Elephas maximus indicus: one gene and its partner. The protein of the gene in region 1 purifies or fractionates together with the protein of each later gene. This does not show direct contact. Links are inferred from orthologs where the notes say so. Each region holds a gene or a part of one and is shown on either strand. Other genes may lie near its edges.

Region 1 (15,405 bases):
AATCAATGCAGTACTTATTAATGGCATGTTTGCTTTGAAACCAGATGGTGCTCTTTTAGAGTTTATAAACTAAATATAGATTCTCAAAATGGGCCTGAGCATTTGTCCTGAGATTAAACTCAGGAACTTTAGTGGATGAGCTTTGAGCACATTTTTGTTCTTTGGTTTTCATATTTGTTCCAGACATTTTGAATTGAATGGGTAGATGGCCTTTAGCTAAGTGTAGTGATAATGGATATACTCATATGCTTGCTTGTAGTTTCTATTTTGCATTTGTATTAATCCTGTAAATTCCCCTAACAGGCAGAGTGGCATGATTCAGACTGGATACTCTCAGTGCCAGCCAAATTACCTGAAATTGAAGAATACTATGATGGAAATACATCTTCTAATTCCAGACAGAGGAGTGGCTGGTCAGGTGGCCGGTCAGGCCGGTCAGGAGGTCGATCTGGTGGCCGGTCAGGTAGACAGAGTCGACAGGGAAGTCGGTCAGGAAGTCGACAAGACAGTAGAAGACGAAGTGGAAATAGAAATCGATCAAGAAGTGGGGGCCACAAACGGAGTTTTGACTGAGCATTTGATAGTTAATCTACCAGTGTGAGCTTGTCTGTTTCTGCCTAATCATGTACATTACCCACCAAAAATTAGGTCATCATAGTTGAGGTATGTGTCTGCTGTTTGCAAAGAAGTTGGTCGTATTTTTTTAAAAAGTATTTCACAAGAATGGTTGTAAACAAATCTACTTATCCAGTTATACCTTTGAATAAAAAAAACCTCCTTTTATTGTCTCTTTTCACTATGCGTTAAGGATTTCTTCAGTGTAATCTTTTTATATTTCTTCTAAAATTTGGTAATCAAGATTCTACTTAAGGTTACTTGCTTTTACAAAATGTGTATTTTCAGGTCATTCCTCCTATAGGTTATGTGGTAGACAATACAAAATCCCTTCTGAAGGGCTGTGTAAATTGGTGATACATGGTTGGTGAGGTATAAAGAAAAAAACAAAACAAAACCTGCTGCCATAGAGTCGATCCCAACTCATAGCAACCCTATAGGACAGGGTAGACTTGCTCCATAGGGTTTCCAAGGAGCAGCTGGTAGATCCAAACTGCAGACTTTTTGGTTAGCAGCCCAGCATTTAACCACTGTGCCACCAGGGCTCCTTGGTTAGGTATAACACATTAAATTTCTAGGTGGAGTTAACTAAAAGATGTAAGAAGTGCACAACGATGTAGTCAACAAGTATTTATCGAATCCTACCATGTGTCAGTATCGATGCTAATCACTGGGAAATATTGTGAACAGGTATAATCATTATCCTCAAAGAACTTACACTCTAACAGACAGTCACGATAGAGATTAACAAGTGAAGGCCAAGCTACAGGTAGGCATGGGATGCTAAAGACCTAGAACAGGTGCGCCCAACCAGTTTTATGGGTTAGGAAGGCTTAGGAGAAGTGGTAACCAACAGAGAAGTAAAGCAAAAGTATGAGTTGATCTAGCCAAGTGTATGTGTATGGCAGGAGAGGATTTGCAGGCAGAGAAAACAGCATATGTAGAAACGTAGGGGCAAAAAATAACCTGGTAAGTCTAAAGACATACAACTAGTTCAGTATGGTTTACATGTGATAGAAGACAGGAATACAAGAGATAGGTTTTAGTATTAATTGGGCCAGATTTTAAAGGCCTTGTGCGTCATGTTAAGAAGTTTAAACCTTTTGAGGACAGTAAAAAGCAAAAAAAAACATTGTCATCGAGTTAATTCCGACTCATAGCGACCCTATAGGACAGAGTAGTACTGCCCCATAGGGTTTCCAAGGAGCAGCTGGTGGATTCGAACTGCCAACCTTTTGGTTAGCGGCCCAGCTCTTTAATGGTTCCCCCAGCAGGGAACCATTAAAGGGTTTAAAATAAGTACCATGATTAGATTTGTGTTTCAGAAAGACTATTGGCCACACTGAGGAGACTGAATTGGAGAAGGGCCAGACTTGAGGCCAGGAGACCTCTTCAGAGGCTGTCAGTGTAGTCCAAGGTAGAGGTGATAGTGGTGAGAACTGATAGGTATCATAGTTTGTGTGATGAGAACTCAGGCACTGGAGAGGTTGTTACTTGTCCAGAATCACCCAGCTGGCTAATGTATAATGGAAGGAGGATTTGAACCAAGGTAAGGCTGGCTTCTGAACTGGCGCTCTTAACTACTGTGCTAAATAGTGGCAGTGGATGTTGAGAAACATGGATAGATACCAGAGGTTTTTAGGAGACAGAGTTGTCAGCCTTGGTGATTGGATCAACAGATGAGACAGAAACAGAAATATGAAATTTAGATTTTTGTCACTGAGATAGCGTAATAGATGGAGAAACGAGAAGTTATGTGGATGGGGGTGGGCATATGATTAGTTCAGGATTAGATATATGTTCATATTGAGTAGTCCTTAGGATATATAAGAGGAGATAAACAGTAGCGGTAGGGTTTTTAGGTCTGAAGTTGAGGAGAGATACATTCTAGAAATGCACATTTGGGAATAATAAGCAAAAAATGGTAATTATAATCAAGGTAGTAGAGATTATCCAGGGCAAGTACAGTAAGAGGGCTAAGGAAGGAACCAAAAGGCATACCAATATACTTAACTGGATAACAGAGGAAAGGGAATCCCATCTATCTCACCCTTGAGGAGGGCAGAAAGCCCAGGAGGATGAGGTTTTTTAAAGGAACCACAAGAGGAGCCTCAAGTGACCACTGGATTTGGCAAAAAATAAATTTTGACATAGGGAGCAAACATTTTAATAGAATATTTAGAGGTCATTTAACAGTGGGTTCAGCAGGAAGTGGAGATAAAGAAGTAAGGACAGCAAACTTGGACAACTCATATATGGCTGCGAATAGGCAAGAAAAAGCTAAAGCTGGAGGAAGAAAAAGATGAGTTTGTAAGGGTTTATATGTGTGTATGGGGGGGAGTTGAGGCATGTTTGAGTGTGTTTAAATACTAATGGGAAGGAGCTGGTAAGGAGGAAGGCAATTGTGAAGATTCAGAAGAAAGTATGATGGAGCACAATCCTTAATGAAAACGCAGAGGGATGGGATCAAGTACACAAGTGGAGTTTTTAGCCTCAGATGGGAGAGACAAATCTCGTAACATTTTATCAGGAGGAAAGTAAGATTATCATGAGGTGAGTTTGCAGGTGTTAAGGTAAAAAGCCAAGGGAGTACCTGCCCCATGTCTTCTGTCTTTTCTGTGGTATTCCTACAAGTTCATCTGTTGAGGGTAAAGAAGGAAATATTAGGCTAGGAGATCTGAGGAGAGTGGAGAACTGCCGAAGTATCAACTATAGAACAAGAAGAGAGTTCACTAGGCAAACTGACAAGTCACAAGCAGCTTTGAGAGTCTAGCTGAGATTATAGACTGGACTTGTGGTGGCACCAGAGAGTGATTTTCCATAGCAACGCTCAACATTCTGGCGGTAGGAATGGAGAAGGGAGACAGTTGACTGATTCAGGATTAGGGTTTTGCTCTGAGAGAAATAAAAGGGTAACAAAGCAAGGATGTTGAGGACTTTGGTAAGACTGATGGGAGTGATGTTCCATGGAATCTAGACTGTCTAGGGATTGAAATGGAGATGGGGATCATAATGGAGAATGTAGAGGGGGCAAAGGACTAAATGTCAGCAAGGATTGTGAATTTGTGATTTCAAGAGTGGAGCAGGTAAGAAGACAAGTTGGAGGTGTGGTAGTAGGCCTGTGAGGATTAAGTTCATTTCAGTTGAAGTGGTCAAGGAGCTGAGAAACCAGGTGGTTTTCCTGGACAATGAAGTCTCTTAGGATGAAGAAAAACCAGCGTTGAGAAGGAAGAAAAAGACTAAGCCAGGTGCCAAATTATCAGTGTATGATGGGCAGGTTGGTAAACTATCTGAATGAGGAGTATATACAGTGATATTATCACATATCCTCAAAAGGACAAGGGCTTCTACATGAATGTGAAGGAGTAATAGTCTGGAAGTGGCTTTGAGGCTAAGAGGACAGTGACAGCAGAGTACATGGAATGTGATGGAATGAACAACATCTGTGTGAGAAAACTGCAGAGGGTATATTTTTCAGGTAGAGCCAGAATTCAGTTAAGCTAAGCTGAGGGAAAGACTGATGGATTGAGGAAGGGGAACTTTTGGTTATGGGAAACAGGGTTCCATAAGGCCATACCTGAGGAAAAAAAAAAAAATCTCAGTTGACTCTTATTTGCATAACTGTGAGCTCTAGTTATAGAACCAAGATAAAATAGAGGCTCAGTTCTCACTAAGATGCAGAAGTACATTCAGCCAGAATACATTGTGTGCCCACAATGTCCCAGGCAGTATGCTTTGGGTCCAAAAGTGAATGAAGAAGGCCTAATCTCTGCCCTCAAGAGCTCAAAATCTCATGAAATAGATGGAACATCATACGTGGCAATGAATGAAGGGCATTGATTTGAGAGCTCTGTGCAAGGGCACCTAGCCCAGCCCAGGAATAGGGATGGGGGCTCAAAGAAAGTTTTTTGGATATGATTGAACATGAATTAAGTCAGGTGAAAGAAACAGTGAAGTGGCATGGGCATCCAGACAAGCACAGAATTGCTAATAAAACAACACGGTCTAAGTATGAGGAACTGTAAGTAGCTCTTGGTGCCAGAATCTTCACGCAAGGAAAGGAGTAGCGAGAGCAAGGCAAGAGTCGCATCTTGGAGGGATTTGTAGGCTGTTTTGGAGAGCAACTGAAGACTTCTTAGGGAAGACAGCACAACAATTGTGAGGATGGCTCAGGACCAGGCAGTGTTTTGTTCTGTTGTACACAGGGTCACTGTGAGTCAGAACTAACTCAATGGCACTTAACAACAGGGAAGACAGTGAAAAAGTATTTGGGCAAATACCAATAGGATGAAAGATGGACTTAAGGGGCCTACCTACTGAAGACTGGCTTCCCTATTAGCCTATTCTCACCCAAGAAAGATGGGGTGAGTCCTAATAAGATTCAAAATAGCTCTCCATATCTTCTGAAAGGAGCTTTGGCTACACTCAGCCACTTATCTTTGCTCCTTCCTCTTGGCTCTGCCTTCTGGCTATTCAGAGCCTTCTGTTGGGTACTGTGTGCTAGTGTCCTCACTGAACAGTGGTTTGAATTTGAATCAGTCGCCCTTAGAATTGGGTTTTGAATTTATAAATAAAATGTTTTCTTCCCTTTAGCACTGTAAGTGTGAATAATGAATTCACATTTAGGAATGAATGTTGGAGAGCCTTCTCTCACACTGTTTTTGTTTCCTATATATTTTGGGGGTGCTGAATAGTCCTTTTAAACCATATTCTCTTTTTCTTATTAGTAATACATGTCTATTATTGGAAACTTGAAAAAAGGATCACAGCACCCAGAGATAACTACTGCTAACATTTTGTCATGGAGACTTCTGAATTGTGTGTGTGCATATGTGTATATGTATACATACCTTTTAAAATAGAAATTGTCCCCCTAATCTTAAGAACAAGCCCCTGGGTGGTGCAAATGGTTAATGCAGTTGGCTGCTAACTGAAAGGTTGGAGGTTCAAGTCCACACGGAGGCACCTTGGAAGAAAGGCCTGGCAATCTACTTCTGAAAAATCAGCCATTGAAAACCCTACGGAGCACAGGTCTACTCTGACACACGTGGGGTTGCCATGAGTCAGAATCAACTCAATGGCAACTGATTAATCTTATGAAAACATGTTACATCATTTAGGTCAAAGGAAATTAGTTTGGCAGAATTAATAATTAGGACTTTGCCTTTCCTACCAAATGTATATAAGGCCCATCTCTTTCACTTACTCCTGAATTTTATATTGATAACTAGATTCAATAATTTGACTGTCTTGGAGCTAAAAGGAACTTTCGGTGTGTTTCCCTCTTGGAATTTGGATCTTGTGCCACGTGGAGGTACGTTACAAAGGAATCTATATAAGCTTTGACAACAGTTTTCCATTTAGTAGTATTCTGGGGCTTATTCTCCTGTTAAACATCTGTTTAAGGTAATAAACACATCCCCCATACTGTATACAGCAGTATCACACGGTTTCTCAACCAGATTGCAGGTCCCTTGCGTCAGGGACTGGGCCTTGACTCTGTGTCCTTAAGTCCGAAGTACAGTGCTGATACCTCAGATGTTAAGATTTTGTCGGTTGATTCGTTGACTGCATTCAAGTGTGCTCCTCCTGTCACACCCGACACGAAGACGACTGAAGTGCTGTACTGCCTTTGCATCATATGTATCAAATTTATTTTGAGGGTTCCTCCCCCAATTGCCATTTTAGTGACCAACAAACATTTAGCGAGCCTGCTATGTGCCAGGCACTGTTTTTGAAATGCTGAGAACACAAAGATGGATAAGGCTCCTGGCTCAGGAATATCTGGGTGTAAGTTAAAGCATTGTTGCACATTTACATAAATTTATCTCTTAAAAAGGTAGAGATTGTGAAACACCAAACAATAAGCTGGTGAAACACGAGATTTTCCCTTAAAACTGTCAGATTAAAAAATGTGTAGTAAAAACTAATTTAATATAGAAATTGTTACAGCATTTTCCTTTATTTGTGCCATAAAATGAAATATTTTAAATTGTTTTTCCAAGCACTTGTGACACATCTGTTTTAATAGCTCTTATTTACTGTGCACTACTAAACCCATTTATTTAATTTTCTCAACAGATCAGGTAGGTTTTGTTATCTGTTCCATGCATGAGAAACTCAGGTTCAAACTAAGTAAGGTGTCAAAAATCCCAGACAAATAGTGGCAAAGGTAGGTTTCAATGCCAGATATGATGAATTGTCTCCCAATACTCTGGGTCACTAGTTCTTCAGAAAATTTAAAACAGTCACAGATCACTCAATGGGTCACTTTTCCTCAACTGCTTGCATATGTATATTGTTTGATACGCAAGACTGGGGACCCCTGTTATTTTCTAATTGAGGGCTACCGCGGTCAGCAAAGGCGCTCCTTGGAAACTCTATGGTGCAGTTCTCCTCTGACCTATAGGGTGGCTATGAGTTGGAATCGACTCGATGGCAATGGCTTTTTTTTTTTTTTTTTTTCCCGGTGGTTTGGGTGCCTTCTACTGGTCCCAAAGCTTGTGCCTTCAGAACAATGAACCCTTGTCTATCTCCTCCACCAGTCTATAAAGCTGCGCGGACAAGGCTTGTGTATTAACTGCTTCTGAATCCTAGCCCTTCTCTGCACACCTGACAGTGAATGCTCAGGGGATGTTTGTTAAGTGAACTGAACGTATGAATAAATTCTGGCGCTTACCTAGGCTCGTTAAGTGGCGGCGTCACCATTCGGAGTCTTCAGAGATGATCAGTCGCGCGCGTTTGTATGTGAAAGGGCTTTACAAATTTCTGCGATCTTAGTATACAGAAGAGCACTGAAAAGTCTCCATCTATCAGGCTGGGGTTGGCGAGAACAGTGTTTGAAAGAAAATACAAAGCTAACCTTTGTGGTCCTTCCCAGCTCTACCCTTTTGTAGGTGCCCCTCGTCCAGCCGCATTACGTGGTCAACTCCCTAAGTAACCCCAGGTAATGTCTGCGGCTGGTGACATAAAACTACCACGTGGTCCGCTCAGCCTCGCTGTGCGACCAGTTTCCGCCCAAAATGCTTTGCTACCGGAAGTGACGCAAGCTGGGTGGACTAAAGAGGTACTTCTGTCTCTTCCTCTCCACGCGGCTGACGAGCCCGGTTGGGTTATCGAGGTTGTCCTGAGTGATGCCGGGAAAACTCCTTAGTGACGCCGCTTTGGAATCAGACACGACCATGGGAAAGCTGGAGATACCGCCAAAGCAAAATGAGAAGGTGCCGCGGGGGGTTGAGGGACTCAGAGCAAGACAGGGCGAGGGGCTGGGCGCTGAGGACGGTGGGGCCCTGGAATCCGGGGAGGTGGCCGGGCTGGGCGGCGAGGACCTGGCGCGTCCGGAGTCGGGGCAGCCATCTCGGCAAGGGAGCCCCTAGGGAAGGTGTTGCCCGCCCGATGGAGCCGTCTCCGCCGCGCACCGAACTCTCCCTTTCAGCTCGGACGCATCCACCAGTCCTGGGGAGTTTTGGCAGCCAGGCCCGGGCAGATCGCAGCTGGAAAGCGGCCTGGGTGTCGCACGTGGTCCCCGGAGTCTGGGCTCCCGCATCTGATGGCGCGGAGTCGGAAGTTCACCGCCAGGACCCCGTTGGTTCAGACTTAATTCGGGTGTTAGCGTGCTCGAAGGCGAATTGTAAATTAAGTCCAGGCAGTAGGGACTGACCTGTGAGATCTTAAACCTATCTACCACGTGGGGAGGGATCTTTAGAGGACCGGCAAATGCTGGCAGCGTTAGCAGTGAAATTTTTTTTGCCGTAGTTAAGGGAAGTAGTTTGTTTTCTGAGAAGCAGCCCTTTGAAGACCAGGCATTTTAATTACTCCTAATATTTATTGATCAGATTTTCCGTGGAAATGTAAAGAGCCGTGCTGTGGTGCTAACTGTACACCATTTTTTAATATAGGCCAGCAGTGCAATAGTGTTTAGTTATCTTGACAGCGTCTGCTTTTTTGGTGTCGATTTCTACACAGTGATTTAATTTGTGCCTGAGTTTCTGTTCTGAGATAAGGTCAGTGGGAATGCAGATTGGCCCTGAACTTATTTTGTACATGACTTAGAGTACCTTTTCCCAGTTGTTTCTGAGTCTTTTTGATGGGGAGCTCTTACAGAATCAGCATTTTGGCATTGTGGGAAGACAAGGGAGCACAAACTTTTCTTCACAGTGGGGAGTTAGTGGTCCTGGTTTGCTTACTCTGCCTCAGTCAGTGTGTTCAGTGTGGGATGCTCAAATTAGGAGGGCACGACCAAACTCCATTATGTTCCAAAAGAGGCTCGTTGAGATGGGAAACCCACTCTTTTGGTGAGAAGAAGGGATGAAAGGACTGGAGAAAAGAAGCCTTTAGAGACCAGATTCCCACCCCCTAGTACCATCTTGTGAGAGAGAGGTTACCCCTAATCCGTGATTCTAGAACAGGGGCCAGGCCTGGAACCCATACCTGGAGTTTAAGGGAGGAAGATATCAACTCAGTATAATAGTGCTGAGGCTGTGCCAGGCTACAACACCTGTCAAAGTCTGACTGTAATAAGTTTTCAATAATGTGAAAGGTTAGGGTCAAATTTCAGTTAGCCATATCTACCTGTCTAGTTTGGTTTTAGGGTTTCATCCCTTCCACTTATTTGTAACATGTGCTGTTTTCGTATGTTTTGTTTTACTTTAATTTAGGCACATCATTTTTATGCATGGGGTGATAAGTTGTGGGGTTTTACAGCCTTTTGGTTCATAAAGTATCTTTATGTAAGTTCATTTGCACTTGAAATAGATAGGCAAGGCAGATATTATTAATCCCTGTTTACCTGTAGAGGAATTCTAGTAGGTACAAAGAAAAGAAATCTGCTTAACATCCATCTATAGGCATTTTAGGACCCTGTTATTCTGTCAGTGTTACATTTGAATGTACTCGATTGCTTTAGTTTAGAGCTGTTAGAGCATCCCAAATCTCTTACGAACATTTGATTTATAGACTTGTACGACCAGCATGAATTGAATAGTTACTAAGAGCCACTCTTGATTTTCCAAGCTAATGAAACTACGGATGTATACTTAGCTTCATATAGCTAAGAAGTGGTGCTAAAAAAAAATACTAAGTTTGATCTTTGCCTTATTGTAAGATGAAAAGTACAAACACTGAAATGCCAAAAAGAAACTTTCATTCTTCATAATTATCAGTAATCTTAAAGTCATCCAGAAGTGATGTATTATGCAGATGTATAGGAGCTTCGTTCAATGTTCAAATTTCTGTTAATTTTTTTAGAAAGCTAAGAAAGAGAAGCCAAAATCTAATAAGACTGAAGAGTCAGCAGACGAAAAGGAGGAAACTAGTTCCCCCAAAGCTAAAAAAATGAAAAAGAAAGCAGAGCCTTCTGAAGTTGAAATTAATTCTCCCAAATCCAAAAAGGTAAAAAAGAAAGAAGAGCAATCTCAAGATGACGCTATGTCTCCTAAAACCAAAAATGTAAAAAAGAAAAAGGAACCTGTTGAAAATCAAGTTGGGTCTCCTAAAATCAAAAAAGCGATAAAAAATGAGGAGCCTTCTGAAAAAGAAATGGGTGCTCCTAAGCCTAAGAAGATAAAGAAAGAAAAGGAAATGAATGGAGAAATTGGAGAGAAAAAGCCCAAACTGAAGAATGGACTTCCTCATTCTGGACCTGCCTCTAACTCCAGTGAAGCCACAAGTGAAGAGAGTAATAGTGAACTAGAACAGGTAAGTTTGTATTTTAATAGATAGGGTGTATTTTTCCTTCTTGTTTCAGATTAAAAGGTAGGTAATTCCTACACATTCTGTTTCATAAGTGGTAGGAAATTCGTTGTGTCAGCATTTCATAGCGGTCCCTTGAGCTACATACAGAGTGAAACTTCATCTCATTTTTCAAAATTGTATAGGATCAAAATGCCTCCTTTGTAAATAAGCAGATTTGTTTAAGCTTGGGGAAAGTTTTCTCTCCTTATTTGCAAATCAGTAAATCAATAGGAGAGATCTTGTACAGGTGGAACCTAGCTTCCCTGGTTTTACCTCATCAGGATTAAGTGGAACTCCTGAAAAAGTATTTGCTTGATTGCAGAAATGCTTTTGTTCAGGCTCTTAACTAGCTGAAAGCCCTGGTGGCATAGTGGTTAACTGCCATGGCTGCTAACCAAAAGGCTGGCAGTTTGAATCTACCAGGTGCTCCTTGGAAATTATGTGGCAGTTCTACTCTGTCCTATAGGGTCGCTATGAGTCAGAATCGACTTGATGGCAATGGGTTTGGTTGCCATCAACAAGATGAGTAAATTTCTGTCTAACTTGGAAGCTAATTCTGTTACTACCTTTCAGAAATTCAGTTATCAAAGAAAAACATAATAAGCAATTTTCTGTGTGCCATGTATCAGAAGATGAATGTTTAAAAAATTTTTTTCCTGATTATAACAAATACGCGATCTAGAGAATTTGAAAAATTCATAAATTCCGCCCTCCTCCCCCAGAAAATCACTATAATTTCAGCATTCATTCATTTATTAAATATTAAGCATTTTCAAGGTACAGTGGTAACCTGTTACTAATTTTTTTTTTGTTTCCTTATGTAGTACTCTTTATATATACAACTGTTTTTAAATTAAAGTTTTTAATGGCTATATAATCTATCAGACGAATGTTTAGAAATTCGGTTATTTAATCGGCATTCAGGTTTTTTACTATCAAATAATGCCACAAGGACCATCTTTGTTCATAAAATGTTCTTTGTTTTCTATGGATGTCTATGAGTGATATTGCTGTGAAAAGGGCTGGATGTCTATGAGTGATATTGCTGTGAAAAGGGCTGGTGACTTGTTCAACAGGGTGTTGACAGTCATATTCATTTGGAACGGCCATGGGATAGTTCTTAGTCGAGACTGAGTCTCCCTTTGCCAGCCGTGCATACTTTATGTGCAGTATATATTTGGTGTAGATTCTTTCTTTTGTTAAGGTTTTATAGATTATTTCCTTTTCAGAACTTGATTTACCAACCAAGCCTTTTGTGTCTGCTCGGTTGACTTTAAATTATTATGTCTACAAGGGATGTTTTAGAATAGGTTCCTTCATCTTCCTTAGGAGGGTTCTCTTTGTTAACTTGTAGGGGCAGAGTGATTGATTTCCTGTTTCCAATGCTGTCCCCCTTTACCCAATAGGAAATACCAGTGGAACAGAAAGAAGGAGCTTTTTCTAATTTTCCCATATCTGAAGCAACTGTTAAACTTCTCAAAGGTAATATTTTGGAAATACTATATCCATACATAAAACCTTATTTTGAAATGCTCTGGTATTTTGTGGGAGTGACCCAAGATATATTCTTATGCAGCCATGTAATGAGGCATTCCTGCCTGCTCAGTATAGGACTGTAGTTGCGATGGCCTTTACTGCCTCTTAAAGAAACAACATTTATTCAGAAGTGTAATGACTCATGTTGCTGGTCAGATTAAATGAGCAATGTCATGGTAGTGTTTTCTGTTTTATCCTCTAGGTTAATGACGCCAGCCTAACTGAGAACTTTAGTAGTCTGCCTGTGCACTAGCTACTTAGTCACAGATGCTAGACTATAGGTATTTTCTAAATTGTTAAGTGCAGCACAGTTTGGACTGCAAAGCACCTGATTTTCATATTAACACAAATAAGACTTCATAATAAGTGACTTATGCAATCTCTTAAATTGACAAATATTTACCATATTTTGTGCTTTAGAGTTTATCGATAGTTTTCAGTTGAGCAGGTTCTTTACTACCAGAATATATTTGAAGCTGACTTTGTAGAACTCAAAATTTGACCCGAAAGTAAAATTCCTTAATTCTTCAAGATCAGAAACATGGGTTACTTTATTGCCTCAGTATGGCTGGTATTTTAAGAATTGCTATATCAGGTAACAAGGTTAATGTGTTCACAGCTCGTGGGGTGAACTTCCTGTTTCCTATACAAGCGAAGACATTTCATCATGTCTATAGTGGGAAGGATTTAATTGCACAGGCACGGACAGGAACTGGGAAGACATTCTCCTTTGCCATCCCCTTGATTGAGAAACTTCATGGAGAACTGCAAGACAAGAAGAGAGGCCGTCCCCCTCAGGTAACTAAAACATATCTCTAGGGCTCTGCATTGTCATAGGGGGGAACAAAAAACATCTCCTTAGTGTTGTTTACATACGTTTTATTTTTTATTTGGATCTCTTTAAAGTCACCCATTCTATCTCCTGCAGATAGAATTTTTTTTTTTTTTAAACTATCGACTATTGACTCTAAAGGAGACCCTGGTGGTGTAGTGGTTAAGAGGTACAGCTGCTAACCAAGAGGTCAGCAGTTCAGATCCACCAGGTGCTCCTTCAAAACCCTATGGGGCAGTTCTGTTCTGTCCTATACGGTCACTGTGAGTCAGAATTGACTCGATGGCAATGGGTTTTGGTTTTATTGACTATAAACCTTGTATTTAAATATTGTAATCCATCCCTTGATTGTGATCACCTGTATTATTAATCCTCTTCATGTTCCCTGTCCCTGAGGGTCATGTGTTTTTGACCTTTCTAGAGAAGCCATTTTCAGTAGGGAAGCATGACTAGAAAGAGGCACTCAAAGAGGGGAAGAGGCCAACCCCTTTATTAGGATGGTGCTTGTTAGGCTCATTTCAGGAGAGCCTGGCATTTGACAAACCTTAACCTCACTGAATAACTATGGAGGAATGACCATAGGCTTTGGCTTCATAGAGGCCTGGGTTTGATTCTAGACTATACTTGCAGAAGAGGTATGTGACTCTGGTCGAGTTATTTACCCCGTTATCATCTTAGCTGTGGGGTCTCACACCTGTCTTTCTGTCCTGACCTCACTTGCTCACTGGCCTTCCAGTGTCCAGGCTTCCCTTTCATTAATTCACTTGTTTACTTCTATGGCCCTGGCACCTAGAAGAGTGCCTTAAACATGGTAGATGCTCAGTAAATGTCTGTTGGATGAATGCATTAGATTGTTGTTCTTCAAGGAAGTTTGTTTCATGCTGTTCCCTGTTCAAGGATCTATAGTGGTTTCTTGTTGTATGCCCTTGTGAATCAAACTCTGACAGCTTTAGGATTCAAAGCCCAATACAGTGTCGACCCTGCCTTACTTGCCTGGCTGTTCTACTCCAGATTCAGTATAGTAAAAAGGTTAAGGTCACAGGTATTGGAGCCTGACTGCCTGAGTTTGAATCCAGGCTCTGCCTCATCTTTAATACGTACCTCAAAAGGTGTTCATAAAAAGAATTTAGTAGAGCCTGAGACATTGTAAGGGTTCAAACATTAGCTATTATCAGCATTACTTCTTGCTCATATTTTTTTTTTTTTTTTTCCTGAAATCCTATTCTTTAAAGACTAGGAACTCCATGAAACTTCCTCCAGTTTCTCCCAACTTGCTCCATCCAGCCTCTTGGAGCACCACACATTTAGGCATCTGACTTCTCTTCTGACTGGTACATTTTCTTCTGAGTATATTTGTCAGGAACCATATTAAATTTATGATCATTCTAGACAGACACACACAGTACATTACAAAGCGCATAATGTTTTGAAAATACTTGGTAAATTCTGTTGAGCCTTCTGCTAAGAAACAAACACCACACGATACTTTTAATTCAATTATTAGCTTTTCCTTTTCAGGTACTGGTTCTAGCACCTACAAGGGAGTTGGCAAGTCAAGTAAGCAGAGACTTCAGTGACATCACAAAAAAGCTGGCAGTGGCTTGTTTTTATGGTGGAACGCCCTATGGAGGTCAATGTAAGTAAATCCAGAAGTGAGGGAAGAGAAATTCCATTGTTGAATATCCTGATTGGATTTCTTCTGATCATGACATCTGTCTAGTCATTTATGACATTTTTCTTTTGCCATTATTGTTTGAAGATGGTCAAGAACATGGTCCTGTTTGATGATGTGCCAAATCGTGTACACAGTCTTTAAGACTTCTTATTATCTGTTTATCTAAATGAGGACAAAGTCCATTTGAGCCCTGGGAACTGGAAAGTCAGAATCAAAGATAACACACATTCTCTCTCCAAGAATTTGGATCTCTGTCCCTTATGCATCTTTCCTCCTTTTTTGCTGCAGGCAGGCTTTCCTTTTCTCTAGGCCCAAGGGCCAGATGTGCAACCTTTGCTCCCATAATCCATTACTTCTCAGTTCAAGACCTGGAAGCTTTATTATGTAGAGCAGATTCATAATTCAAAAGGTATATAAGGGATAAAAAAAGGTCTTAGCTTTGACACATAAGGCTTGTGACTCTTTGGTGGAATGAGCATAGGTTTTGGCATCTAAAAGACCTCGGTTTGATTCTAGACTCTATAGGGTAGTTTTGGGACTCTTAAGTTCAAGTTGCTTAATTTTTCTGAGCTTTAGTTTTCTCATCTGTAGAACAGAGTTAATAAACTCACCTTGCAGGTGCTGTAAGGATTGAATTGGAAAATGTATGTAAAGTGCCCAGTATCCCAAGAGTTCAAAAGGAATTCCGGTAAAAGCTGCATTATTCCCATCTCGTCCCAGTTACGGTGAACTCTAGTTTCCTGAACGTACCAAGTTCACTCGCTTCCACGTTCCTTTTTATTATTATTATTATTATGCTTTAAGTGGAAGTTTACAAATCAAGTCAGTCTCTCATACAAAAATTTATACACACTTTGCTATATATTCCTAATTGCTCCCCTGCTAATGAGACAGTTTACTCCTTCCCTCCACTTTCTATTTTTGTGTCCATTCGGCTAGCTTCTGACTCCCTCCACCCTCCCATCTCCCCTCCAGACAGGAGATGCCAACATAGTCTCGTGTGTCTACTTAATCC
Region 2 (15,251 bases), on another chromosome or scaffold:
ATGTTGCCAAGACTCTTAAGATGTCACAGATACCAACAGTGAAGAAGCTACCTCTAAAAATAATATAAATGTAATTAAAAAATAAAAACTTCATTGGATTATTGCAGATTTCAGCAAATAGTAATTGAGTTGTTTAAAAGAAACTTTAATGTCCAGTTAACCAATACCATACACTTTAAAGCCTTTGATAAGTATTCCCATTTAGAGTTAAATGCATTTTAAATGTCCCTAGTTAAAATGGCTGGTTATTGGCTGAGAAAATATAATGGCTGAAGTGAACTGGCAATGTGTGGAGCTGTTGGACCTTTAAAGAGCAATACAAATTCCTATGCTGTCATTCTGTCTTCTGCTTGTGCAAATGTGTTTATACAGAAGACAATGCAAAAGTAGGGTAGCTGGCTGCGTATTTCAGATGTTAACAGACATTTTTCTCTAACGGATATGTTAGAATCATGGTCATCTTTGCATCTTTTTACAGTTAGTGATGTTTATATAATTTTCATGCTAGATTACTAAGATTATTATAGTTTCTTTTTTTTAAATTAACTGAATTCAAGTGAAGAAAAGATGTCATTGAAATAAACATCTAAGTAACTGCCATTTTAAGCCCTTATTTCTTATTTCAGGAGAGGGGGAAACAGCATCTGTTTGTTTTTAATTTGCAAGGACTTACCCAGCAAAAACCTATGTAAGTTTAAGCCAGAAGACTGAGTGTATTGCCATGAATTAAGTGGCAAAGAGTAAAGTGATCTTGACTAATTTAGCTCATGTAAATCTGTTTGTTTTGAATTGAAAGTCTTGAAGTATGTGATAACTAAATTACAAATTTTGTAAATTGTAAAAGAATATAGGTTGTTCACTGTAACATGAGGTCATTCATATTTGTCTGTTAGTTAAATTACAAGAACTGTTTTTATAATATGGAACTTTGAACATGATATAATGAACAATTACTGGCATCCCCTCAGCTGGAGCGCTGCAAATATTTTGGGTCACATTTGCAATCAGGTGCAGTTTTGTGAACCTATGGTCAAAAATTGCTCCCATGATGAACTTTTGAAAATAATCAACTTCCCTGGTGACTGACCTTCAGGAACGCTAGTTACGTGATTACGCTGTGATCTTTGATGACTACTGCACATGACAGCACTCTAGCACCTTTCCTCATTGGCATGGACTTCCTCATGGAACGCTGCTTCGTGGATGAAACTGCTTTGGGTAGGGATTAAGATAGTCAAGGCACAAATACACAGTTTTTATTACAGCTCTTAACATTAGGCAACTTTGAACCTTTAAACCTGTTATGAAAATTCTGGGTGCAGCACTATAGCTCTGATTATAGGATGATTAAATGTTATACTCAGTGTTGGCCTACCTTATCAGAACAAACTGTGCCATTAATCCTCTCACAGACATAGGTAAGGTAGATAGCAATCAACTAGATTTGAGGATGATTTTTATTTCCTCCAGCTAATTATACAGTGATTCTAGCAGATACCATCTAATATATTCATGGTCTTGTTTCATTCTGCCAATGGCAGAAATTTGTTAAATAAGTGTAATTATATATGCACAACTCAAAAGACTTAAGTTTCCATTTAGCAGTCAGTTGGTTATATTAGATTCCACAGGAAATGGAATAGGAAGTATTTTTATTTCCCAATAGTAGTAAAGTGGATTCCATTTGAAACAATTACTGCCAGGATTCAGGTAAGGTAGATTTGGTTCAACTTTCTCAGTGGTTTTGGCTCTGGGATATTCTTGATTTTCAGTATCCTAGAACATTGAGTCTTCCCTTCATTAAACATACTTTTCACATACCTCTAATCCTATGCTTCCTTGAAAAAATAATACTGGCTGAGTTGTTTACTAAGGAGTTATTATAAGGGCCTACAGGTGTGGGACTGGAGATTAAAACCTTTATGTTTTGCAGTATAAGGGAAAAACAGGTACTATGCCAGGATTTCTCATCTCTTCTGCCTTGTCACACATGCCCTTTAAAATCTAACATGGAAACCTCAGGTTTGTGGATAGCAAAGGTGGAATGACATTTTCTACTTCCGAGGTTCCCCTGTACCAGGCACATTAGCTAGTGTTTCAGATGTCAGCCCAAGTCCTTGCTACCTCCTTTCCTGCTACTGGTGGAGAGCGTGTGCTGGGGCTGGCGCTCTTGCACCCCTCAGGGGATTGTCCTCCCTTCCATTTTCTCTACTCACAGAAGTGTAACAGGTCTAAGCCTGGAAGGTCTGCATTTTAAGGACTCATACTTTGGGCTCAGAAATTTACATACCCTTTACTTTCTTCAGTTTATTTCTAAAGGAAATGAGGATATCTTTCAGGCCAGGATTAAGTGAATAATTTTTATTAGATAACAGGATAATATCTAGATCTTTTTTCTTTTTTAATAGGATTAAAGGGAACTGACTTAAGTTAAAAGTTTTTTAACCTAATTTGAAAGCACGAAAAAATGTTCTAGAAAGGAATTACAGGAATCCAGAGGTAAAGAAACCTGTTTCTTATGATTTGTAGCTACCTACTGTGCCTGACATGGTGCCTGTGTGAGGATTAAACTCTTAGTCTGCTCTTGCAATTATTCAAATGATTGAAAAAAAAAAAAAAGCTTTTGTAATAACAATAAAAATTGTCATCTTCCCTTTTAAAGGATTTGTCTGTTTGTTTATAATCTTGTATTTCACCAGACCATAAGTGTGTCTGTCCACTTTGCATACAATCCTGTATTTTTATATCAAGTACTGGAACTGTCTACCAGATTTGTTGGATGGATCTGATAAGCTGTCAGTGTAAGAAATTTACAAACTTGCGGTCTGCTTGCATATGGTAAGCAAGGCTCGTGTGGTGTACATGACTGAACCATAATGAAAACAGCAGCCCTATAAAAAACTAGAAATGCTATAAGTAACGTGGTTTTATCTGAACAGCAGACTTAGGGAAAATCAATGATTATTCTGTCAGAACTGTGAACCTCTATATTCAGTATTTTTAATAAAAATCAAGAAACCAAACGGTACTTGCCCCTCTTTACTGAGCAAGGGCAAAAGAAATTAATGGTAAACAGGTAATATACACAGTTGTTGGAAGTCCCTGGGTGGTGCAAATGGTTAAAGTTCTCAGCTGCTAACCTAAAGGTTTGGAGGTTCAAGTTCACCTAGAGGCACCTCAGAAGAAAGGCCTGGTAATCTACTTCTGAAAAATCAGCCACTGAAAATTTCATGGAGCACAGTTCTCTGATATACGAGGTCACCACGAATCAGAATCGACTCAGCCATAACTGGTTAAACACATGGGTTAAATGAATGAGCAGCAATACATTCCTATACACTCATCTTTTATTCTGTGAGCTAGAATCAGTTCCTGCTTAAACTATAACTCCAGTGTTTTGGTACTCACCTTCTAGTTTAGGGGTTTGGCATTAAAGCAGTCTTAGTTTAGTGAGCAAGCCTGCTATCAAAAGAGAGGCTCAATTATAAAAGTTCTAAGTAAATGGCTTTTGAGACCATTTCCCAGTAATGGTTGTGGGGTGCCACTGAGTCAGTTATGACTCACAGCAACCCTGTGTACGACAGAACGAAACAATGCCCAGTCCCCTGCCATGCTCACAATTGTTGCTACATTTGAGCTCATTGTTGCAGCCACTGTGTTCACTCCTCTCTTTTGCTGACCCTCCACATGACCAAGCATGATGTACTTCTCTAAGGACTGGTCCCTCCTGGTAACATGTCCAAACTATGTAAGATGAAGTCTCACCATCCTCTCTTCTAAGGAGTATTCTGGCTATACTTCCAAGACAGATTTGTTCATTCTTCTGGCAGTCCATGGTATATTCAATATTCTTTGCCAACACCACAATTCAAAGGCATCAGTTTTTCTTCAGTCTTCCCTATTCATTGTCCAGCTGTTGCATGCATATGAGGCAACTGAAAATACCATGGCTTGGGGCAGGTGCACTTAGTCCTCAAAGTGACATCTTTGCTTTTTTTCTTTTTTTTTAAACACTTTAAAGAGGTCTTTTGTAGCAGATTCACCCAATACAATATGTCGTTTGATTTCTTGACTGCTGCTTCCATGAGTGTTGATTGTGGTGCCAAGTAAATGAAATTCTTGACAACTTCAGTATTTTCTCCCAGTAATTAACCACAATTTTGTAGTCTTAAATGACTAGGTCTCCCATCCCGCCAATCAAACATCTGTACTTTATGCGGGTTATTGAAAGAACAACTGTGTTGTCTTTGGGCATCAAACACATATAGGCACTATACTACAAAGGGTAGATACCAATAATAATGTCTTTGTAGTTCTCACAATAGAAATTTTTACAATTCTTGGCATATGCAACCAGTTTCAAAGACTGCAGCATCTTCCTATCAACACATCTTAAAACAGAAAAATAGCATTAATACCTTGGTGTAGCTTTGTGATGAACAACTGTAGAACTACTGATGAACAAATAACAGTAACAGACTTTTAAAGTCCCCCCAATATAAAAGGAACTACGACAACTAGTTTCGCCTTTTTGGCCATGTGAAAAAAGGTTCTGGAAAATTTTATTTTTATTGTAGTACCCTCCTTAGTGACAAGGTTATTTCTTTTTAGCCTTTATAGCCACTTTGATGCTGTATGAATAATTTTGAAACTCATGTACAGTTATGACATCCCATTTTAGTTTTCCTTATATTTAATTTTTTCTATATAGTTAATTCAACATGCTGGTCTTAGAAGTGAAAATTTTCTTGGAATTACATTTTTTTTCTAAAGGCTTTGTGTGCCCAAATTACTTGCATGAAAAGTTCATTTTTTCCCCCATGTTTTCTGCTAGAAATAGATTGCCTAAAACAAGAAAAAAACAAAATTCCTGTAGCTGACAAATATTTTTGTTATTCAGTTACACAAATTTGTGATATGATCCGTCTCCCTCTCAATGTGCACTGGATCACATTCAATGTTACTTGCACGTTTTCTTAACTCATGCCATCTCCATATTTGAGCTCTCAACATTTCACTTCAATGGAAACAATGATAATCGTGCCCAAATTCATAAGAATAAGCAGTAATGGTTAAAACTATGATTTATACAAGGTTAATTTATATGTTAGGGCATTTTCATTTTTAAAAAATTCTAATCTCTGGTTTAAGAGTTTAGTCAAGAGTCAGGCTACTGAATGTAAGGTACTAATATGAAAAAGAACTGGTCCTGTAACAAATTCTCTGGGACACAAAAATACTTTCATTCAGTTTTTTTGCCTTAGTGTAAAATTTTTTACAAAAAAGTCCCATTTTTTTCCTATCACTTACTTTACTCATAATCCTTTCACTGAAATTGCTTTCTACAAGGTCACCAATGACCTAATTGCTCAACAAAATGGCCTTTTATCAGATATATTCTCAATTTCTACAGTATTTGTCAGTGCTAACACATCCTCAGATATCTCCATTCCCTTGGCTACTGGAACAGGGAACACTTTTGGTTTTCTTTTACACACTTAACTACTTGCCTCTTTTATTGGCTCTTTCCCTTCCTTTTCCCTAACAGAGGGCTTCTCCACAGCCCGAATCTTTCTCTGTATCTCTTTGCAGTCTCATTTATTTCCACAGCTTTAACCAGCACGTTTATGAAGATGACTTCCAAATTCCTTCTGCAGTTCAGAAGCACTCCCAGATTCATTTTGATGTACACTGGAACTTAAAATGTTGAGAATAAATATCATATCTTTCCCTCCAAATTTAAACACCATCCATATGCCCAGTTATTCAGGCTCAAGAATTTGGGAGTAATCTTTGAATTCTCCTCTTCGTATATTCGGCTTTTGATGAAGTCTTAAAGGTATTTTGTCCTCACTGCCATCAGACCTCAATACCTAGAAAACCACCATAGTTGCCACTGCTCTATCCCTAAGCCCTGTCTCAGCCATTCCAATGTATTATTCATTCATTACACAAATACTATGCTATATATGGGCTAGGTGCTAAGGATACAATGGTGAACGTATCATAGAGTCCCTGCCCTCTCAGAGTTTATCCTCAAACTGGGGAAAGCCAAATAATGGTAGAAAATTTTTAAATGTTTTGGGGAGTGGGGAGAACCTAAGCTAGAATTTTCCAGAAGTAACTCTAAGCAGAAATCAGAAGGATAAGTAAGTGTATTTAGGGGTGGAAGTGCAAGAAGGTGGCAGTGTTCCAGAAGTAACAGTGTGTCGGAAGGTCTGAAGACGTGGGAACTGCATAGTTAAAACTACAACGTAAAGACAAAAGGTGAGCAGTAGGGTATGAATCTGGGGAGGTAATAAGGGCAGAACCAGATGAAAAGTGCCTGGCCTGCAAAGGTGACCATATAATTTATTTTTCAAACTGAGAAACTTTTGTCTAGGACAAAGGCTAAATCAGAAAGGACACCAGACAACGGATGCAAACTAGGATATATCTAAGGCGAATTAAGGAATTAGTGCCTTAAACTGTTCCTAAAGAGAGTAAGAATCCAGTGAATGTGGTTAAGCATGATCAGGTTTGATATGATCGGATTTGCATTTCAGAGATCATTCCAGCTGAAGGGTGGAGAATGGACTATAAGGTGCAAAATTGGAGGTAAGACAAGTTGGGAGGCTGCTGCAGTAATCTAAGCAAAAAAAAAAAATATATATATATATATGATAGCCTGCACTACAGGGTGGCAGGGATAAAAAGAATTGGATAAATGCACATTTAAAACATAAAACATATGAACAACAAGACTTTATTGACTATATATGGGGGATGAGGAGACAAGGATGACTCATTCTGGCCTGGACAACTAGGCAGCTCAAAGAAAACATGGGAAAAGGTGCAGCTTTGAGGGGAAGATGATGAGTTCATGACTTGAACTTGTGCGTGAGGTCCTTGTAGAACTTCTGAGAAGTCCTTTAGACAGTTGGAGATATAGGTTTGAAGATGGGAAGTCTATAAATCTGTATTAGTTATCTATTGATGGAAAACAATTTACCCCAAACTTAGTGGTTTAAAACAACAAGCATTTATTATCTAATAGTTTTTGTGAGTCAGGAATCTGGGAGCAGCTTAGCTGGATGGTTCTGGCTCAGGGTCTCTCATGAGATTACAGTCACCTCAAGATTTGACTGGGAGAGGATCCGCTTCCATATTCACTCATATGGTTGCTGGTTTCCTTGCTACATAGACTTCTCCATGAGCTGCCTGAGTATCCTCCACAACAGAATAGCTGGCTTCACCCAGACCAAGTGACTTGAGGGAGGGATGAAAGGAGAAAGATAGGAAAAAAAGAGAACGTGTAAACTGCAATCTTTTTGTAACCTAGTCTTTTAAGTGACATCCTATTTTCTATCACTTCTGCTACAGTTTATTTGGTAGAAGCAAGTCACTAACTCAAGGAGAGGGAATTAAACCACACTGCTTTAAAAAAAGTATCAAAGAAATTGTAGACATATGACGTCGTATCTTTAAAAGAACCACAATACCACTGTCAGATTAATAACTCCTAAAGTGTAACTGAACACCCCCTTCTTTTCTTCCTTATCGTCAGTTCAAAACCTTTGTGTCTGAGCTTCTGTTAAGCATGATTGAGAAACTAGAAAGGGTTAATGGTGATAACTGAACAACTTAATAGATTTACTGTCACTGAACTGTACATATGAAGACTGTTGAAACGGCAAATATTTTGTTATCTACATATTTGCCACCAAACCAAAATTTGTTGCCTTCAAGTCAATTCTGACTCACAGCAACCCTATAGGACAGAGCAGAACTGTCTCATAAGGTTTCCAAGGAGTGGCTGGTGGATTTGAACTGCTGCCTTTTTGGTTAGCAGCCAAGCTCTTAACCACTGTGCCACCAAAACACACACACACACACACACACACACACACACACACACACACCCTCTTGTGTCGCCATGATTTCTCCAAAGTAAGTATAAACCCTCAGCTTGATAATGAATTAATTCCTGACCTATCATTCTAGCTTCACCTCCTGTCCCTCCCCTCTGCATATCCCTGCTCCAGCCACTTATTGCTTTCAAACACCTCCAAGTTCTTTCACCTGAATTCATTTGGTTTCCTTGGCCTAGAAGTCTGGTTCTTAAACTTATTCAGGTGACAGAGCATCCTACAGCCCCAATACTGTTTTAAGAATACTAGAAAATGTTAATACATCAAACCTAATGTAAAAATTCATTGTTCTGTGCTAAATCTAATTCCATTTTATAATAGATTCTACAATAGACAAACAGAAATAGGTGCCAAAGATTTAAGAACATTTCTTCAAAAAGGTGGATTAAAGACAAGACCATTATTAGAGATTAGTAGCAGAATATCTCTTTTTCCAGCTTCGGAAATAGGAAAGGAGCATTTTTTCAAAACAGTTGACATGGAAAGCCTTCTACTTCCATTCTTTCATCTCTCAAAAATCTTACTTAGCTGGTTGTAAGAAAGACCGGAACCATCTCGAATATCCATCAAAAGATAACTACATGAACTACAGTATATCTACATGGTGGAATGCCGTGCAGCCATTAAAACAGATGAGTGACTGGGAACAATCTCCAAGATACAGTACGAGGAAAAAGGAAGTAAGGGGGGAAAAAAGATGAAATTTAAATCCAACGATCTATAAAAAGCATCGATATTTCCACAATATGCCTAGGACATCTCTGGAAGGTCACTGGAAAAACTGGTAACACAGGTTACCTCCGAGGATGCCAGGAGGCAGATGGGGACCTGAGGAGGGAAGGAAGCTTTCTACAGTATTCCACCGTGCCCGTTATCCAATCTCCACACTTACTTGTCTATGCTCTTATTTCCCGCCTCTGGGAGACCGGAGCTCCTAAGAGACTGAGTCGGTTCATCTCTCGGCCCCTCGCACCGCTTAGCGACGTGCCCGACGTCCCTTGTGTTACTTCAGAGTCCTCGGCCCCCTGTGAGGAGGCACGACCGTTCTCCTCGCGTTTGAGGAGACTGGAGCTCGGAAGCGTTAAGTGGTTCGTCCGAAGTCACACAGTAGGTGGGTGGTGGAGCCAGGTTCCCGGGCAGACCTGCGAGACTCCAGACCCGCGTTCTCCCCACAGCCCCACGCGGCCTTCCGAAGGCGGGCCCGGGGGAACGGACGGCTCCACGGCTCGGCTGACGGGGCTCCTCTCCCGCCTCAAGGCGCTTTCTCGATTTCTTTCGTGTCAGAGTGAGAAAGAGTTGTCAGCAGGCCTCACACAAACCAGGAGGAGAACGGAAAAAGAGGAATGTGTCCCAAGAAAATCACTCCGACTGCAGCCGGAGTAACTCAGTCAACTCGCGTCCGCCCCCCTACGGTAGCGCGACGCCCAGGAACCGAACCTCGCGCTCTCACGGAAGTGATGCAAGTAGGCCCGGTTGCCGCCCCTTTACTTCCGGCTGCGGGCCTGGCTTGGCGCGTGCTCGGGAGAAGTTACCCTGGTGGTTCCGCACGCTCCTCTGCACGAGGTGAGGGCGGTATGGAGGCCTCGGCGTCGACCCCAGCCTCAGCCTCGCCTCCGGCGACCCCGGCCGCGGCGGACCCGCGGCTGGAGCTGAGCAAAACACAGGTGAGTGGCCCCTGGGGAGGGCGGTTCGGAAGCGGGGTGCCCGTGGCCCTGTGAGGCGCGGTGGTGCCTGATGAGTGGCCGGGGACCTGGCGCACCTCTGTGGGCACCTCCGGGGGCTGGGGGAGAGGGGTTGGGGGCGGGGGACACTTGCTCGCTAGCGCTTCAGCCTGCTCGCTTTCTTATCCGTGCGGTTTGGCGCCTCTTTCCCCGGCCCGCGGCCTGGCTCTCTTTAACTGGATTGCAAATTAACTTGAGGTCTGGAGTGAGAGACCTGGCTTTGCTTCCCAACCGTTTGGTCTTAGCCAAGTCACTGAATTTTGCTAGCCCCGATTACCTCTTATTGAAAGGGGGCTCTTCGGCCCTCCATTTGCCGGGATCAGATAAGGTAACGCAAGTAAAGCGCTGTAGCCAGGGGCCTGGCGCGTTGTAAGCGCTCAGTGAATGCTAGTTGCAGTTTGTGTTGCTCTTTTACCGGGATTATCTCCTTCAGGGATTACCTCCTTCATCGTTGAGGGCCGGGGAAGCGTATTTCTGTCTGGCACAGTGTCTTATGTAGAAGACGTGGCTTTCTGTAGTCGAGGGGTGGAGGCAGATACTTAGGCGATTTCCCATTAATTCTTACATTCCGCTGAGTACACATTGCCGGTTCCTAATAGGTATGGTTATGGAGGTTGCCTATTAAATAGAAGTCAGGGCAAAAAACAAGGGAGGGAGAAAATGTCAAATTAGATCGAGATGTAACTTAATTTTGTGTTTCCACTTTGTAGGTTAAAAAAGCAGTGAAAGCTCTATTGGCACATTCACAGTCCAGAAAAAATGCTAATGAAGTGCTTCTGAATGAGAATGAAACTTTATTTTTGATGGTGGTGTTATGGAAAATTCCAAAGAAGGAGCTGAGAGTCAGATTGTAAGTTTGATTTTCTACATTTGCTGTTTTCATCTGCATTGTCTTTCTTTGTAACTTTAACAAGTGCAACTTAGTTTTTAGTGGTTACGTTGCAAACTCAAAATAAAAATCTAAGATGAAATAAATAATCGTGCCTAGAAGAATGTTAGGAATTCAGGCATGCTAAGGTTTTCTAGAAATTTCACCAGCTTTCTGGGAGCTTGGTAGCCAGTTCACCTAAGCATTTCTACTGAATCCAAAACTGAGTTTTAGAGAGAACAGAGATAGAATAAACAGCTTTTGTATTTTAGTAGACTCTATTCTTTTCACGTCATACTATTTTTAGGCTAAAATTCATGAGGGCCTGGACCTGCTCCTGCATACAGAAATTATTAAAAATTTGGAGTCTCTGGGTAGTGCAAACAGTTAGCATGCTCAGCTGCTAACTGAAAGTTTGGCAGTTTGAGTACACCCAGAAGCACCTAGAGAGAAAGGCCAGGCAGTCTACTTCAGAAAAATCAGCCATTGGAAACCCTACAAAGCACAGTTATACTCTTAACACATATGGGGTCGCTATGAGTCAGAATTGACTGACAGCACCTGGTTTATTAAAAACTTGGTGGTGAACTCTTTTTTATGGAAAAAAATCATTGTGGTTACATATTCTTATTGTTAGAAGTTGTAGGTCAGAGATGCCCTCTGTAGAGTTGACATATTTATGGCATAAATATGATTTGTTCAGTATAAGGAGATCCCATGCAATATTTGGGACCTCCTTATAATAAACAATGATTCGTTGTTTATCTGTTTAACTGGGCATTCTATATTGTATCTGCCTTTCTGTCAAGTCTCTCGTATCCTGACAGTGACAGAAAGTCAGCTGTCCTTAAGAAAGCATTGTGTAGGATAACTTTCTTTTCTCCATAGGGAGGCAAGAATGGTCTTCACAAAACTGATGTTCACAAACCTGCTTCAGCCAGAGTGCCTTGTGTATTGCTTTGTGCACTCCATGTATGTTCTTTTTTCCACACCTTTGCTCAGGTGGTTTTTCGGAAAGCCTTTTGGAAACCCTTCTCAAACCTTTCTAGGGTGTTACTCTTAGTGATTTCTACCACTTACCAGCCTTTCAGCACTCACCTTTCCTCTCAAGCCGTGCTGCTGTGTATTGCCATCTCTTCTTAAGCTAAGGAAATGTTGTTTCCTCAGAACATGGAGGCCTAGGGAACAGGTTAGCCTATTTAAGACTTGACATAATCATTGCGTGCTTGCTGGTCCCTCCTGGTTTTGCTCCATGTTTTCTGTTTCAGCTCTTGTTATTATTTATGGAGCTAAGAGTTTTCCAGAAAGTAAACTTCTAAGCCAGGACAATCCTAGTGAAACTAGTTAGCCTTCAAGTCAATTCCAACTCGTAACGACCCTATATGACAGAGTATAACTGCCCAGTAGGGTTTTCTAGGCTGTAATCTTTATAAAAAAAAAAAAATTTTTTTTTAATCTTTATGGGAGCAGATCTCCAGGTCTTTTCTCCCACAGAGCTAGCTGCTGGTGGGTTTGAACTACTGACCTTTTGTTTAGCAGCCGAGCGCTTAACCGTTGCACCACCAGGGTTCTTTTCTATGTGTTTGGCATATTATGTATGCAACATAGATAATATTAATTACATGTGTAATATTTGGGGCATCTTTGTTTACATTTTAACTCTTTTTAAGTCCCAAATGTTAATTGATCTTTCGACCTCTGGGTATTTGTAGCGATTTCCTTGAATCTTAAAATCTCTTTTCTGTGTTATTGAAAACTAGGTATATGGTACAGCAATTGTTTAAATAACATAAATGAAGGTTATTGAAACAATAGGAAACTTGTATATTTTGCAGAGTATAAACATACATATTGTTTGTAAGGATATTTTTCTCTGCTTCCTTCTCGTGTTTTGCAGGTCCTTGCCTTATGCTATTCGATCAGATTTAGCAGAAGTCTGTTTATTTACCAAGGATGAACCCAATTTAACTCCTGAAAAAACAGAACATTTCTATAGGAATCTGTTGAACAAGCATAAAATTAAGACCATTTCTCAGGTAAGGAGCAGGTTAATATTTTCAAGACAAACGATTAATTGAAGTGATGAATAATACATTACTGTATATCTTAGTGTTTCACTGTTTTTCTTTTTGTTTTTAATTTAACTTTTAATGAAGTTAAATAGCGTATATTCTGTTTTCCCTCTGCTGCAGCAGCTATCAAGGTTGGTTGACCTGAAAGCTAAGTGTGTACTGTCAGTAACTGGTCTCTCTTGTGGATTATACAGAGGTTGCTCTGTCGTGTCATTCCCTGTACTCCCAGAGCATCCTTTTGTTGCCTATGATTTAGCATTTATTGCCCTGTGCTGCAGTTGTTGGGGGTGCCCTGGTGACGCAGTGGTTAAAGCACTCAGCTGTAACCAAAAGGTTGGCGGTTAGAATCTACCAGCCCCTCTGTGGGAGAAAGATGTGGCAGCCTGCTTCTGTATTACAGCATTGGAAGCTCTATGGTGCAGTTCTACTCTGTTCTATAGGGTTGCTGAAAGTCGGAATTGACTCGACAGCGGTGGGTTTGGTTTTTGGTTTTGTAGTTGTTAGCTTACTTGTCTTCGTTACTGTCCGGGTTGAAGTTTCTTTAGCTGGGGACCCACCTTATCTGTCTCAGTGTCCCCAGTGTTTAGCATTATACCTGGCACATTTTAGGCACTCGGGTTTACTAAACTGCGATCGGTATGGCTCTAAACCAGAAATACCAAACCAGTTGGCCTTGAGGCGATTCTGACTCATGGCGACCCCAGGTGTTGCAGAGTAGAACTGCACTCTATAGGGTTTCCAAGGCTGTGAGCTTTTGGAAGCAGATAGTGAGGCCTTTATTCTGGTGTATCTCTTGAGCGCCAACCTTTCGGTTAGTAGCCGAGCACTTACCTGTTTGTGCCCCCACAGAACTCCAGGCATTGTTTGCATGACTCTAGGATGCCTTAAAATCTGAATAGGGTGGAATACCAATTTTTGTCTGAATACATCTTCTTCTTGTTCCAGTTCTTAACTTTTTGTGATTTTATTTTTCTTTATATTTTCTAGATTATCCCCCTCCGAACTTTAAAAAAGGAATATAAACCCTATGAAGCCAAGCTCCGCCTCTTGGGTAGTTTTGATTTCTTCCTTACTGATGCAAGAATCAGGAGGCTTTTACCCTCAATTATAGGGAAACATTTCTACCTCAGAAAGAAGTAAGTTTCTTTGTCATGACCATGCTTCACCAGAATGAAATTAATAGGTGTGTGTCCATTTGTATTCTGAATGCCTGTGTGTTTTTAGAGTCCCAGTATGTGTAAACCTCCTGGCCAAGGATTTATCAAAAGAAATCAATGACTGTATTGGTGGAACTGTCATGAACATCTCTAAAAATGGTTCTTGCAGGTAGGTAAAAGGGATTACTACATGCTTATATTTAATCTGGTTTATTTTAATTTAAATAGCCACATGTGGCTACTGCTTACTGTATTGAATGGGGAAGCTCTAGATATTAAGGAAATGAAAATAAGATGAATACTTAGAGAATATTAGTGGGTCAGGATTTTCATGTCAGCCAGTATCTTATTAGTTTATTGGGTAGAGTGGTGGGTGAAGTTTGAGAGCTTGGCAGTTTACCAGATTTTAGAAGTGGGGATGTGGCCAGTTTTAAACACTTAAAATACATGTATGAAATATTTAATCTGCTCATTTGGGCATCTTGTGTGGGGGTGGGCACCTGCCAATAAAGCCCTGCTGTGCATTTCCTCCTAAAGACGAAGAGCCCGGGTGTACCCAGTGGTAACACATACCAGGAAACAACCAAAGAGTTCATGACTGCCTAGCAGGAAGGCCAGCCCAACCATGTAGCGCAGAGCAGATAGCTGGGCAGGACAGGGGGACTCTGGTATTGCCTCCTGCCTGCAGGTGGAAAGTCTCTGGAATAATGTATAGTTGAGTGACTGAGAAGAGTAGATTTTCAGGCCTAGGCCCTCCACCTCCCTGGTTTATAGGCTGGCGTCGGTGGTTGTTCATGGGACTTGGTTAGCTAGGTCAGGGGTCTGGCTTGTGGAGCCAGTAGCTAGGAGAAAGAGGGGGCAGAACCATGAAGGTAGATAAGGGGGAAGAGTTTCCTGCCCTGGGTTTTTCCAAGTCAAAATCCACAGTTTAAGGAAGACTGTAGACAACTGCCCCCCGCCCCCCCCCCACCCAAAAAAAACCCCGCAAAACTTAGACCATTCTTTCATCTCCCCAACACAGTAGTTTTCCCTTCTTCTGGCTACTGTCTTTTCAGCTGGGAAGCCAAGGATGTGCTTGCAGGCCGGGGTGAAGGGCACACAGAACCCTGTGTTTGGCTAAAGGGAGCTGGAAGCACCAACCCCTGCCTCATCATTATTCTGCAGACACCCGACTGTGGGGTGTAGCAGGGACAGGGAGTCCCACTGGCTGAGCGATACGCTTTCCTGGATTTCCCACTTGGCTTACATCTCTGCTTCATCTGAAGGATCATTTTGCTGTTGACCAGAAGACAGTATTATGTGAGAAATGAGGACTGTTTATTTTTGAAGGGAGCAGCTTAGTTGGGGCAGTAGGGCTATAAAGATACCAGGCAGCAGCTTTCCACTTGCGATTCCTGAAGGTAATTCCCCTTGGACAGCTTGATGCTGACTCCGGCGTTTGGCATTTGCTGGATGAAGGTAGAGCTGCCCTGCCCACTGGCCTTCCTGGCCTCACACAGTTAAGTACCAGCCCATCTTGAATC

The links.
Region 2: the proteins of DDX21 (region 1) and RSL1D1 purify together in Homo sapiens (affinity purification with mass spectrometry; 3 studies listed by BioGRID and IntAct, with this or other methods). This does not show direct contact. The link is inferred for Elephas maximus indicus from reciprocal best matches to the Homo sapiens genes DDX21 and RSL1D1.

What each region holds. Positions count from the first base shown.
Region 1 is NC_064834.1:18,980,471-18,995,875, reverse strand, and holds the start of DDX21 (nucleolar RNA helicase 2), read left to right. Parts: upstream 1-7,665; 5' UTR 7,666-7,748; coding exon 7,749-7,835; intron 7,836-9,861; coding exon 9,862-10,311; intron 10,312-11,753; coding exon 11,754-11,829; intron 11,830-12,502; coding exon 12,503-12,681; intron 12,682-14,233; coding exon 14,234-14,351; intron 14,352-15,405. Other genes in the region: ATP-dependent RNA helicase DDX50, read left to right, coding at 304-573.
Region 2 is NC_064830.1:69,944,856-69,960,106, reverse strand, and holds the start of RSL1D1 (ribosomal L1 domain-containing protein 1), read left to right. Parts: upstream 1-9,386; 5' UTR 9,387-9,484; coding exon 9,485-9,574; intron 9,575-10,341; coding exon 10,342-10,481; intron 10,482-12,396; coding exon 12,397-12,535; intron 12,536-13,558; coding exon 13,559-13,707; intron 13,708-13,795; coding exon 13,796-13,897; intron 13,898-15,251. UniProt on the Homo sapiens protein: Regulates cellular senescence through inhibition of PTEN translation. Acts as a pro-apoptotic regulator in response to DNA damage.